2 linked regions of the Xenopus tropicalis genome follow. The protein of the gene in region 1 purifies or fractionates together with the protein of each later gene. This does not show direct contact. Links are inferred from orthologs where the notes say so. Each region holds a gene or a part of one and is shown on either strand. Other genes may lie near its edges.

Region 1 (4,526 bases):
AAGCAGTGCTATATAAATAAAACTAATGCATTCATACACCTTGACATGCATTCTGCATCAACCAAAAACAATTATGACTGGGGCCAAAAAGCCTTACAAAATGAGAGTAAATATATATTTCAGTAAAAGATACATGACTTTAGAATTTAAGGTGAAGACACACAGAGCTACTAGTAGCAGCTACTTTTTTACAGTTACTTAAGGGCAGTGGCACACGGGGAGATTAGTCGCCCCGCAACAAATCTTTATTGCCGCGGGCAACTAATCTCACCGACTAGAATGTAAATCGCTGGTGGGATGGCATACGCATCACTACGGTTTCCCGAAGTCGCCCGAAGGTTCCTTGAGAGGCAACTTTGGGAAATCATAGCAACGCATATGCCACCACACCGGCGATTTATATTCTTGCCCGTGGGATGGCATTGTGGGGAGATTAGTCACCCGCGGCAATGAAGATTTGTTGCAGAGCAACTAATCTCCCCGTATGCCACTGCCTTAACTCCAGAAAATACCTTGCCATAGACAATACTAAGAATTGCCTCTGCTAAAACACACGTAGAGACAATTATCAGTAAATTATCTTATGATGATGTGTTTATGTTATAACTTTAATTTACAGGGACAGATACATTTAAGTTTGAGGTAATAGTGCATGTAACTATTTAACCTGCATATACACCCAAAATTCCATGCAACTGCAGTTTAAACCAACGAGAAATAGGATTAACCCCCCCAGTCTCTGGAGCTATTAAATCACCCAAGCAAATCACCTAGAATCACAACGTGTGCCATTGGCCTTACAGGTTAGTTAAAGGTCAACTAAAGCCCAACTAAATAAAATATTCAATTTAATTGCATGGATGCATAGTGCTTTTGCAATCCCTCCAAAGAACAGCAAGATTTTTCCCCTGAACAGACTTTCCAAGTTCCTCCTTGCAGCCTGCATTCTTAGAATTGATACCATAACAGAAGGCTGTAACCTGAGGCACATCAATTTCATTGTTTTGACAGGCAGCACAACAATTCCATACAGTTTTTACTGCCATACTACCTAAATATAACATTTGGGCCTTTGCTATTGTAATTAGGCTGACTATTCAGTAACTTAAACAGAACTGATGAATTAAATACTCAACACACACAGAAACAAACAAAACCAAATGTCCCCACAGTTTTTCCTACCACCCTGAGACAGGTTACAATTAAGCTAAGTAATCTCCGCCTCTTCAAAAACTATAGGTATAGTGTTGGCTAAAAAAACATAACCATAGGTATTTTTCTACAATAACCCTACTTTTTCATGTTTTTCTGACACTTTTGAAAAAGTTAAATCAGTGTCCTAACTACAGGGCAACTGAAGTTTGGGCTGAAGTTAATCTATCAGGATTGGTTACCAGGAGTTGTAGGAAAGGCTGCAGGTTGCATTTGCCATGACACTAACAAATAAGGACTGTGGGATAAGAGCTGCAGTACTGCTACCTTCTCATACCCTTAGGGCCTGTATTGCCTTGCCCTCAAACCGGCCCTTATGCCAAACCTTCAGGAGTGCCAGGGCAGGGGCCACAGCAGGGATACCGCAAAGCAACATAAATACATGAGCATGTACACTGGTAGCAGATACAGTCTTAAGATAAAATAAATTATCTTCACACAAACAGCAGCAGAGATAGCGACAGAACCATAGTGTGGCCATGGCAGTATGGACATTGGTAAATATATATATTAATTTCCCTTGAGGAAAGATAACTTGGATACACGGAGATGGCAAAAACAACTACAACTGCACTTTAATTAGTTTGTCTTTCTCAAAAGCTAATGCCAAAAGGCACAGCCCCTGAGGCTTACACATTCCCTGTGCGTGTTCCAGGCTGGTAGCCTGTCTTGCCACATAGCAACGGAACCGTGCCGGGTATTGTACATTACTCTACGTGCGCTGCTGGCGGGGCCTGGGACTCACTCAAAATGGAGGCCAGTGGGCAGGCCTGCGCGCCGAGAGACTACACCCGGGATCGGCCCGTAGGCAATGCAATAACAGGGTATGCAGCCTATGTACGCAGCTCCATCTTCCCTGCTTGCTGGGGCTGAAGAGCCATACGTGGATCACAAGATGCTTGCTTCTGAAATGGCGCCCGAGAATTCTAAGCACAGATGACTCGCCTCAGTAGCCATAACAGCAGCAAGAACGCAACCCCATCCCTTGCCCCAGAAAGCTATCACACTTTGCAACACGTCTTCTGATCTCTGTGACCCAAAGGGATCCCTGGGAATTGTAGTTACGGAAGCCCCCAAGCCGCGACTAGTTTCCCTACACAACGTTTCCCCCAGCCAGGCTGCTGTATGCAGGAATGTGCGGCCCCCCGGCTGCTGTTACACTGCAACTCGGAGTGGGGTAGCTGTGGAAGTTGTGCAGCAGCTGGAAATGCGCAGACATTCCTGCCTGCAACACAATCTCACTGGCTTACCCACCGGGGGGCTATTTTAAAGGCGTTTACATCAATGCCGTAAATAGCAGAAAGTCAGCTGGGCGAGCAATCAAATTACATGTAATAATAATGGGGGGCATGCAGGCTTGCGTACACACGGACTGCCCTACAGCAATTCTCCATATGAAGGTTTCAGTGCGGTGGTGAATACACCAGTGCAGTAAATTGTTCGGGAAAGAACTACAATTCTCTGCCTACAGCCCAGCAATGATCTCATTCCCCATCTTATCCTGCCAGGCCGGACTCACCCAAAGCACAAGCACCCCCTCCCCCCCAAATCCAAAAGTGAAAATAAAAGTCTGCCTCCTGCCCCAGCAGCCCTTCCGATCTGCCCTATTCTGCTCATTTCTCTTTACACAGCAGCTCCCTGCTCGCCTCTCTGCCGCTGCCTCACTGTACAGCTCCTCGCCCAAACAACACTTATTACATATAGCCATTTACAGTTTGGCATTTGCCCGCAGCTCTGATCGCTCGGCGAGTTCTAGTGCATACTGCCCAGAAGGGGTGCAAAATGGAAGTTACATACCAGCACTAAATGATCGCAGGATCAAAACTAAAAGTGACGGCTCCAGATCGAAAGCAAAACAAGGAGAGAAAAGTGTGTGTGAGAGAGAGGGCTCAGGCAAGAAGTCTCTCCCCCCTCCCTGCTGATGCTGGATTTGTTTGTTTCGGGTTTACTCAGCACAAGGACAGGGAGGGGAGGGTTTGCTTTCTATAGTGCGGAAGCTTCTCTCTGGCTCCTGCAGCTGCTGCCTTCCCATTGGCCAGGCCGGCCCCAAGCCCAGAGATTCTCAGAATAAGGCAATTTCATTTTCACTTCCCTGTTGCTGCTCTCAGCACAGCGGCGGCAGTTTGCGTGAGGCGGCTGCAAACCTGCCCCTGGCTCTGACAAAGGGCGGACTCTAGCTGCCTAAGCAAATCACCCCATCATTTATAGCTGAAATAGACTTTAATTTCACATTCAGTCAATAACTGTACACAAGTCTGCAGCTCTATTAGCCAGTCAGTATATGTACACAAAATACTCTTTAGCACAGTGTGGAAAACCCAATCAGATTCAACTAGAAATCAATAAGGGTTTTCTTTATCAACGTTAAGGAAATTTGCACCTGCAAAATATTATTAAAACCAATCGCAATTTTGCATTCATTGTTTTACCTGAAGCTGGCTAAGAAAAAGGGATTTGCTAATGGTTGCTATGGGTTACTGTTCCCAGTACTAGTCTGACCAGTGTTTTTCTTTATTGTGTCCTGTTAGTTTGTAGGCCAGTGGCCTAAATATGTAACTGATCTGATTTGGTAACACTGATTTTATTGCTCAGTTCAATATTCAGTTTATCACACTGAAGCTGCAAGGCCTTCCTATTTTGCATCAAAATCTAACTAAATACATTTTCCCTAATGACATGCATTTCCCCTTTCCCACAAGGAGCATTTTATAGTACTTTATTTCTTAGGGTGAATGATGCTGATAATTTCTTATGAAGAATAGTCCCTTCTTTGCCTGGGTGTGTGTAGATGAAATTCTCATATCTTGCCTCCACTAAGTTTCAGAAGTATTAAAATGGAGGATGGCCATTGCCATTGTCCCTGGTCCATGCAATTTTTTTTTCTGTGCTTACCATTAAATCATTTTACCTTTTGTCATTAACCAGAAACAGGTAGTACCACCCTGGATATATTTTTTTCTGGCTACCAATTTCAATCAATCAATTCTAATTACAAAACACATAAAGTTGTAAGATGATACATACCACAAAAATGTGCACAGGCAAAAAGAGACACACAGGTTAGCGGATACACTTGCCAAAGATGAGAATTGCCCCAATGTTTTGGCAAAGAGCCTTTCTCAAGGGAATTGCCTATGCACATTTTTGTGATATGTATTATCTTACAACTTTATGTGTTATTTTCTGTAATTTTGTAATTAAAATTGTTTGTGTGCAAACCCTTATTCTATTTAAAATTATTGTCTTGGGTACCCTATATGGGGGTACAATTTTTGTTTTTTTTTTGCACCAAACACCTATATTGTATTTTTGAC
Region 2 (4,548 bases), on another chromosome or scaffold:
TCACCCTTCGATTCTGCATAAGGCTGTGCGAGAGAGCAACTTGCACCCACCAACATGCCTCTTGCCATTTGGTTAAGTGGTTGGAGTATTCTTGGGTGCTCTAGTGCTCATTCCTTAGGCATGTCTGTATTTCCATGATAATTACAAATGTCACTGCATTACCCCTTGGAGGCCAAAGATTAAAAACCATTGAGTTTTATGGTGTCTCTTCAAACAATTCCCTAATGCCAGTAACCGATTCACTGCACACTGTAGGTGTCCTGCTCTCAAAGTTACATCTGCAAACCAGTAGGTTCCTTTAGTATGTTTCCACATGGAGGCATTTTGGGAATGTGTTAGGGATAAAGGGAAAGATTTGCCTCATTACATTCCATTTTGCAGAGCAACATTCTGGTTCTTTTCTCTCACAAATCCCCATCCATTAGAACCTGTCTTTGGTTTGCAGGTTATTGGTGGGGAGCTGAACATATACACAAAAGGGGCAGGGGACCCCTTGCACAGAACAGGTGACCATGATTTACCGGAGTTCCTAAGGGTCCCTCTCCTTTTTCACCTTGACATCCCCTGCCAGGATGGTGGCAATTTCCCCTTGCATGAATGCCCACGGTACATTAGAACCCACTAAGGGGCACTTCTCCCCACTGGGACAGTAGACTTCACCAGTTGCCCCTTGGGCTTTAATGCTGTCACGAGAACAGGGAAAGCAGAATTTGTGGCTGGGCACAGATGGACACTGGACAAAGTGTGTGTCCTCTAGACGCTCATGACAAATGGTGCAGCACAGAGGGCCACTGTTAGCCATGGGGGAATCAGGAATATTCTGGGGATGCACTTGGTCCATTCCAGGATGAGGGGCACCCCCAGCAGGTGCCACTTGAAGACTCAGGTCTGCTGAACCTGCACCATTGCGGGAGTTAAGACGTCTTTGTCCTGTTACCGATGCAGGTGAAACTGGGCTGCTGCTATTTCTGCGGGCTGATGAAGTGGTGGAGTGAACTGGTGGTACACCACCTGTCTGCCCATCCTTGGGGGAGTGGGCAGTGCCCAGAGTGTCTGTAACTGACTGAAGTGCTGCCATAGGAGATGGACCATTTGGAGGTGCACTCTCAGGTGGGGTTGTGCGCTGTGGGTGGCCAGGGCCTAGCGGTGGGGGAGGAACAGAAGGTACACCATAGGCTGCAGATGAAGAAGATGGTGTGCCTCCTGCAGCTGCCATGCTTAGTTGTTTTATACCATCAGGCTGCCCAGTTATCCACATTTGTCCATCGGCTGAGTCTGGTTCTGGGGAGGGTTTGCGTTTCCTTACACCACTTCTGGCCTGCCCACTGCCACCAGCTGATGATGAGGCAGCTGCAGCTGCAGCCAGTGCCCGTGGCAGATTTACAAGTGCGCTGGGCAGCATGGGACACCCAGGGTCAAGGTAGGGTTGGGGTAACATATCGGCCCCTACCATTTCTTTAAAAAAGCGCACAGATTCTGGAAGCAAGTCCCCAAGCAAACGCCAGTCTCCAGAACCATGCTTTTTCTCATATTCCAGGTATTTAAAACCAGATGACAGACCACGACCAAAGTCCTTCATGCAGTCCTGATACATTTGTTTGGCTACACCAGAGGCAGAACTAAACACATTAAGTAAGCCACTGGGATATTCAACAAACAGTTTCAATTCATAATCCAGCAGGCCTGGCTTTGATGCAGCATCAAATGCAAAGACTCTCCCCAGCAAGTTGTGGTCCTTTTTGAAGCGAACATCAAAGGGTGTACAGGCAGATAGAGTGAGCAATGCATCTCTCACTGCTTTAGGCTTCCCTGCCCACTCTTCTGCTCTATTACGTAGGCTCTCTGTCAGTTCAGAAAGAGCCTCACTGTTTCGCTGCTTTTCCTTGAGCTCTCGCTCCTGGTCAGTACTAGATACAGATCCTGGACGCTTGGGGTCACCAGATGAAGAGGCTGTAGGTGGAACACTTAGGCCACTGGAACTTGCAGGACCCCTTCCCAGAACATGAGGAGCTCCTGATGGAGTGCCTGATGGTGGTCCATTAAGAAGGGTCTGGGGTAGAAGATTAGGAGGCACACTCAGCTGCCCTGGCACCAGTTGTGGGATTAGCCCATGACCTGTTCGGCCGCGTGAGTTGGGACTCTGCCTGTTCAGCTCTGGGGGGCCATCCTCCCCTGGCTTGGGGAACCCATTAAGGCCATTGGGAAGCCGAGCAGTTAATGTGTACTCGAAGCGACCTCGATCTGTGGCCAATCCGTATCTCTCCAGCCCAGAGGCAGCTGCTGCCTTAGTAGCCCCATCTAAATGGTTTAGCTGGGCAGTATCTTTTGCTGTGAGGGCTGCCTGCACAGCTGGGTGCTGTTTGTTGGCTGCTCCTGAGCCGGGGCCCTGGGGTCCAGGTGAACGACCATCCTGGAAACTGTGGCTGCGTTTCAGTTGCCGAGCAGTGTCAATGACAAATTCTATTCGATCTGCCCCCTCATAGTTGACACAGCCGCGACAAACTGGCTCAGTGAAGTCCCAGATCATAGCCCATGGCATCCGTGGCAAGTCACACAGGTAACACGACTGGCGGCGTGAGGAGGAGACCTGTGCGGCCGACATGCTGGTGAGCGAAGGCTCAACACAGGGGAGGGGAAGGAATACTCAGCGTGGGGGGAGCATGCGGTGAAGGGTATTGATAGCTCTTTCTGCTCGATCCGGATGCTATTTAGGAGACGCTGGGTGCACAGAAAGCCGGTTAGCACGCTTCTCCGGGCTCTTCGCCTGTCTTTCCGCCGTTCTCCTCTCCGGGCGTGCTCTCTCCGACTGTCGCTCTATCCGCAAGCCGCAGCCCGCCCGGAACGCGCACTCACACGAACGCGCACACTCTGTCACGCAGGATTGGGATTCCGCGAGTGCGTGCGCGTCTCTAAACTGCACCGTAATGACGAAGTCCAAGAATGCCACCTGGCTTTGACGTCACTCCCCCGCCCCCACTGACAAACATGTTGTTGAGTCCCGGGCCTGTCCGCACAACTTCCCCGCCCTCTCTGCTCTTCTGCGCTCTGCACACGTGGTGTTCCTATCACGTGACTCGCTTAGCAGCGGGCTGCTGTGTGAAAATTCTGTTCTGAGGTTGAACAAAATGGTGACACGCAGTGAAATACAAAACAGTGCAAACGGTGACGTGTGAGACTAATAGTTGCCGGCACACTCCTTTGAAATGGAACGCGTGCTAGTAAAAGCGCTTACATGGACAATTCTTTAGGATCGTTGCTTTGTGGCTGCACATAAATAAAGGCTGTGTATTGTATGTGTTTTTGGTTTGAGAGGGGTGAGGTGGGTTATAGACGCGATAACGTTGTCTAGTCATATATATTTTGTAAAGCGTGTGGGCCAAACAGTAGCTAATATAGTAGGCAGCTTAAAGGAACAGGACCACCGGAGAATGAAAGTGTTTCTAAAGAATTACTTTAAAACAGTCGTTTATTTTGGGCTGTTCCTTTAAAGCTGAAATAATTAAACAGAAGCTTTTGAGAGTCTTTTTGGTTGCTGTGTGATGAATATTTTATGCTGCTTTTTTGATGTCTTGTAATCTGCTGTTTTTACCTTATGGTTTTAACAGTATAATTTTATAATAATTAATAAAGGGAACCTTTTGTTATTTTAATGCATCATTGCAGATGTGTCAATTTAAATTGCTTTTTGCTGTGGGAATTCCCCCCCCCCCTGCACCTACTTAATGTGATTTGCACCTAGGCAGGTATTTCACCACCTAGAGCTGGGGCCGATATTACAAATTACAGTGTAGTTGGTGGTAAATTAATAATTTAGTGAATTTACTTCCCAGAGTATTTCACAACTAAACATTGCCTTTTAGGGCAGTGGCACACGGGAAGATTAGTCGCCCAGCTTCTTTGTCGCGGGCAACTAATCTCCCCGCAATGCTATCCCACCGGCTAGAATGTAAATCGCCGGTGGGATGGCATACGCGTCGCTGCAATTTCCGGAAGCCGCCTGAAGTTGCCTTAAGCGAAAACTTTGGGCAACTTCCGGAAATCGCTGCACCACATATGTCATCCCATGGGCAAATTAATTTTCTTGCTGGTGGGATGGCATTGTGAGGAGATTAGTCGCCTGCAGCACCAAAGATTTGTCGTGGGGCGACTAATCTCCCCGTCTGTCACCTCCCTTAAACCTTCCAGCACCTCTCCCACAGCTTTCAGTCCCTGATGATGCACCAATCCTCCCACTTCCCCACCCCCTGATTGCCACAGAACCTCCCAGTCCCTACCTCGTGACATAAGCAATCTGCTCCATAATGTCACCAATCAGCAGCTTCCCCTGCAACCCCACCTCTGAAAAGCATTGAAAGATGAACCTCAAAATACATGAACACCTTACAAACAAGCAAAGTGGGAGCACAATTGAAAGAGTGGTTGGGGTATAACAGTGAGTGCAGTGTCGGACTGAGATGCCAGGGGCCCACCATTTCTGGGCCTTGGACCATAGGCTCACTTTCTAAACTATTATTCCAACTCTCTTCCCACAACCACTTTATTCAAGTC

The links.
Region 2: the proteins of irf2 (region 1) and irf2bpl purify together in Homo sapiens (affinity purification with mass spectrometry; 3 studies listed by BioGRID and IntAct, counting the BioPlex papers as one, with this or other methods). This does not show direct contact. The link is inferred for Xenopus tropicalis from reciprocal best matches to the Homo sapiens genes IRF2 and IRF2BPL.

Annotation. Positions count from the first base shown.
Region 1 is NC_030677.2:44,876,529-44,881,054, reverse strand, and holds the start of irf2 (interferon regulatory factor 2), read right to left. Parts: upstream 3,074-4,526; 5' UTR 3,010-3,073; intron 2,623-3,009; exon of another isoform or gene 1,958-2,622; intron 1-1,957. UniProt on the Homo sapiens protein: Specifically binds to the upstream regulatory region of type I IFN and IFN-inducible MHC class I genes (the interferon consensus sequence (ICS)) and represses those genes. Also acts as an activator for several genes including H4 and IL7.
Region 2 is NC_030684.2:82,572,316-82,576,863, reverse strand, and holds the start of irf2bpl (interferon regulatory factor 2-binding protein-like), read right to left. Parts: upstream 2,808-4,548; 5' UTR 2,603-2,807; coding exon 530-2,602; 3' UTR 1-529. UniProt on the Homo sapiens protein: Probable E3 ubiquitin protein ligase involved in the proteasome-mediated ubiquitin-dependent degradation of target proteins. Through the degradation of CTNNB1, functions downstream of FOXF2 to negatively regulate the Wnt signaling pathway.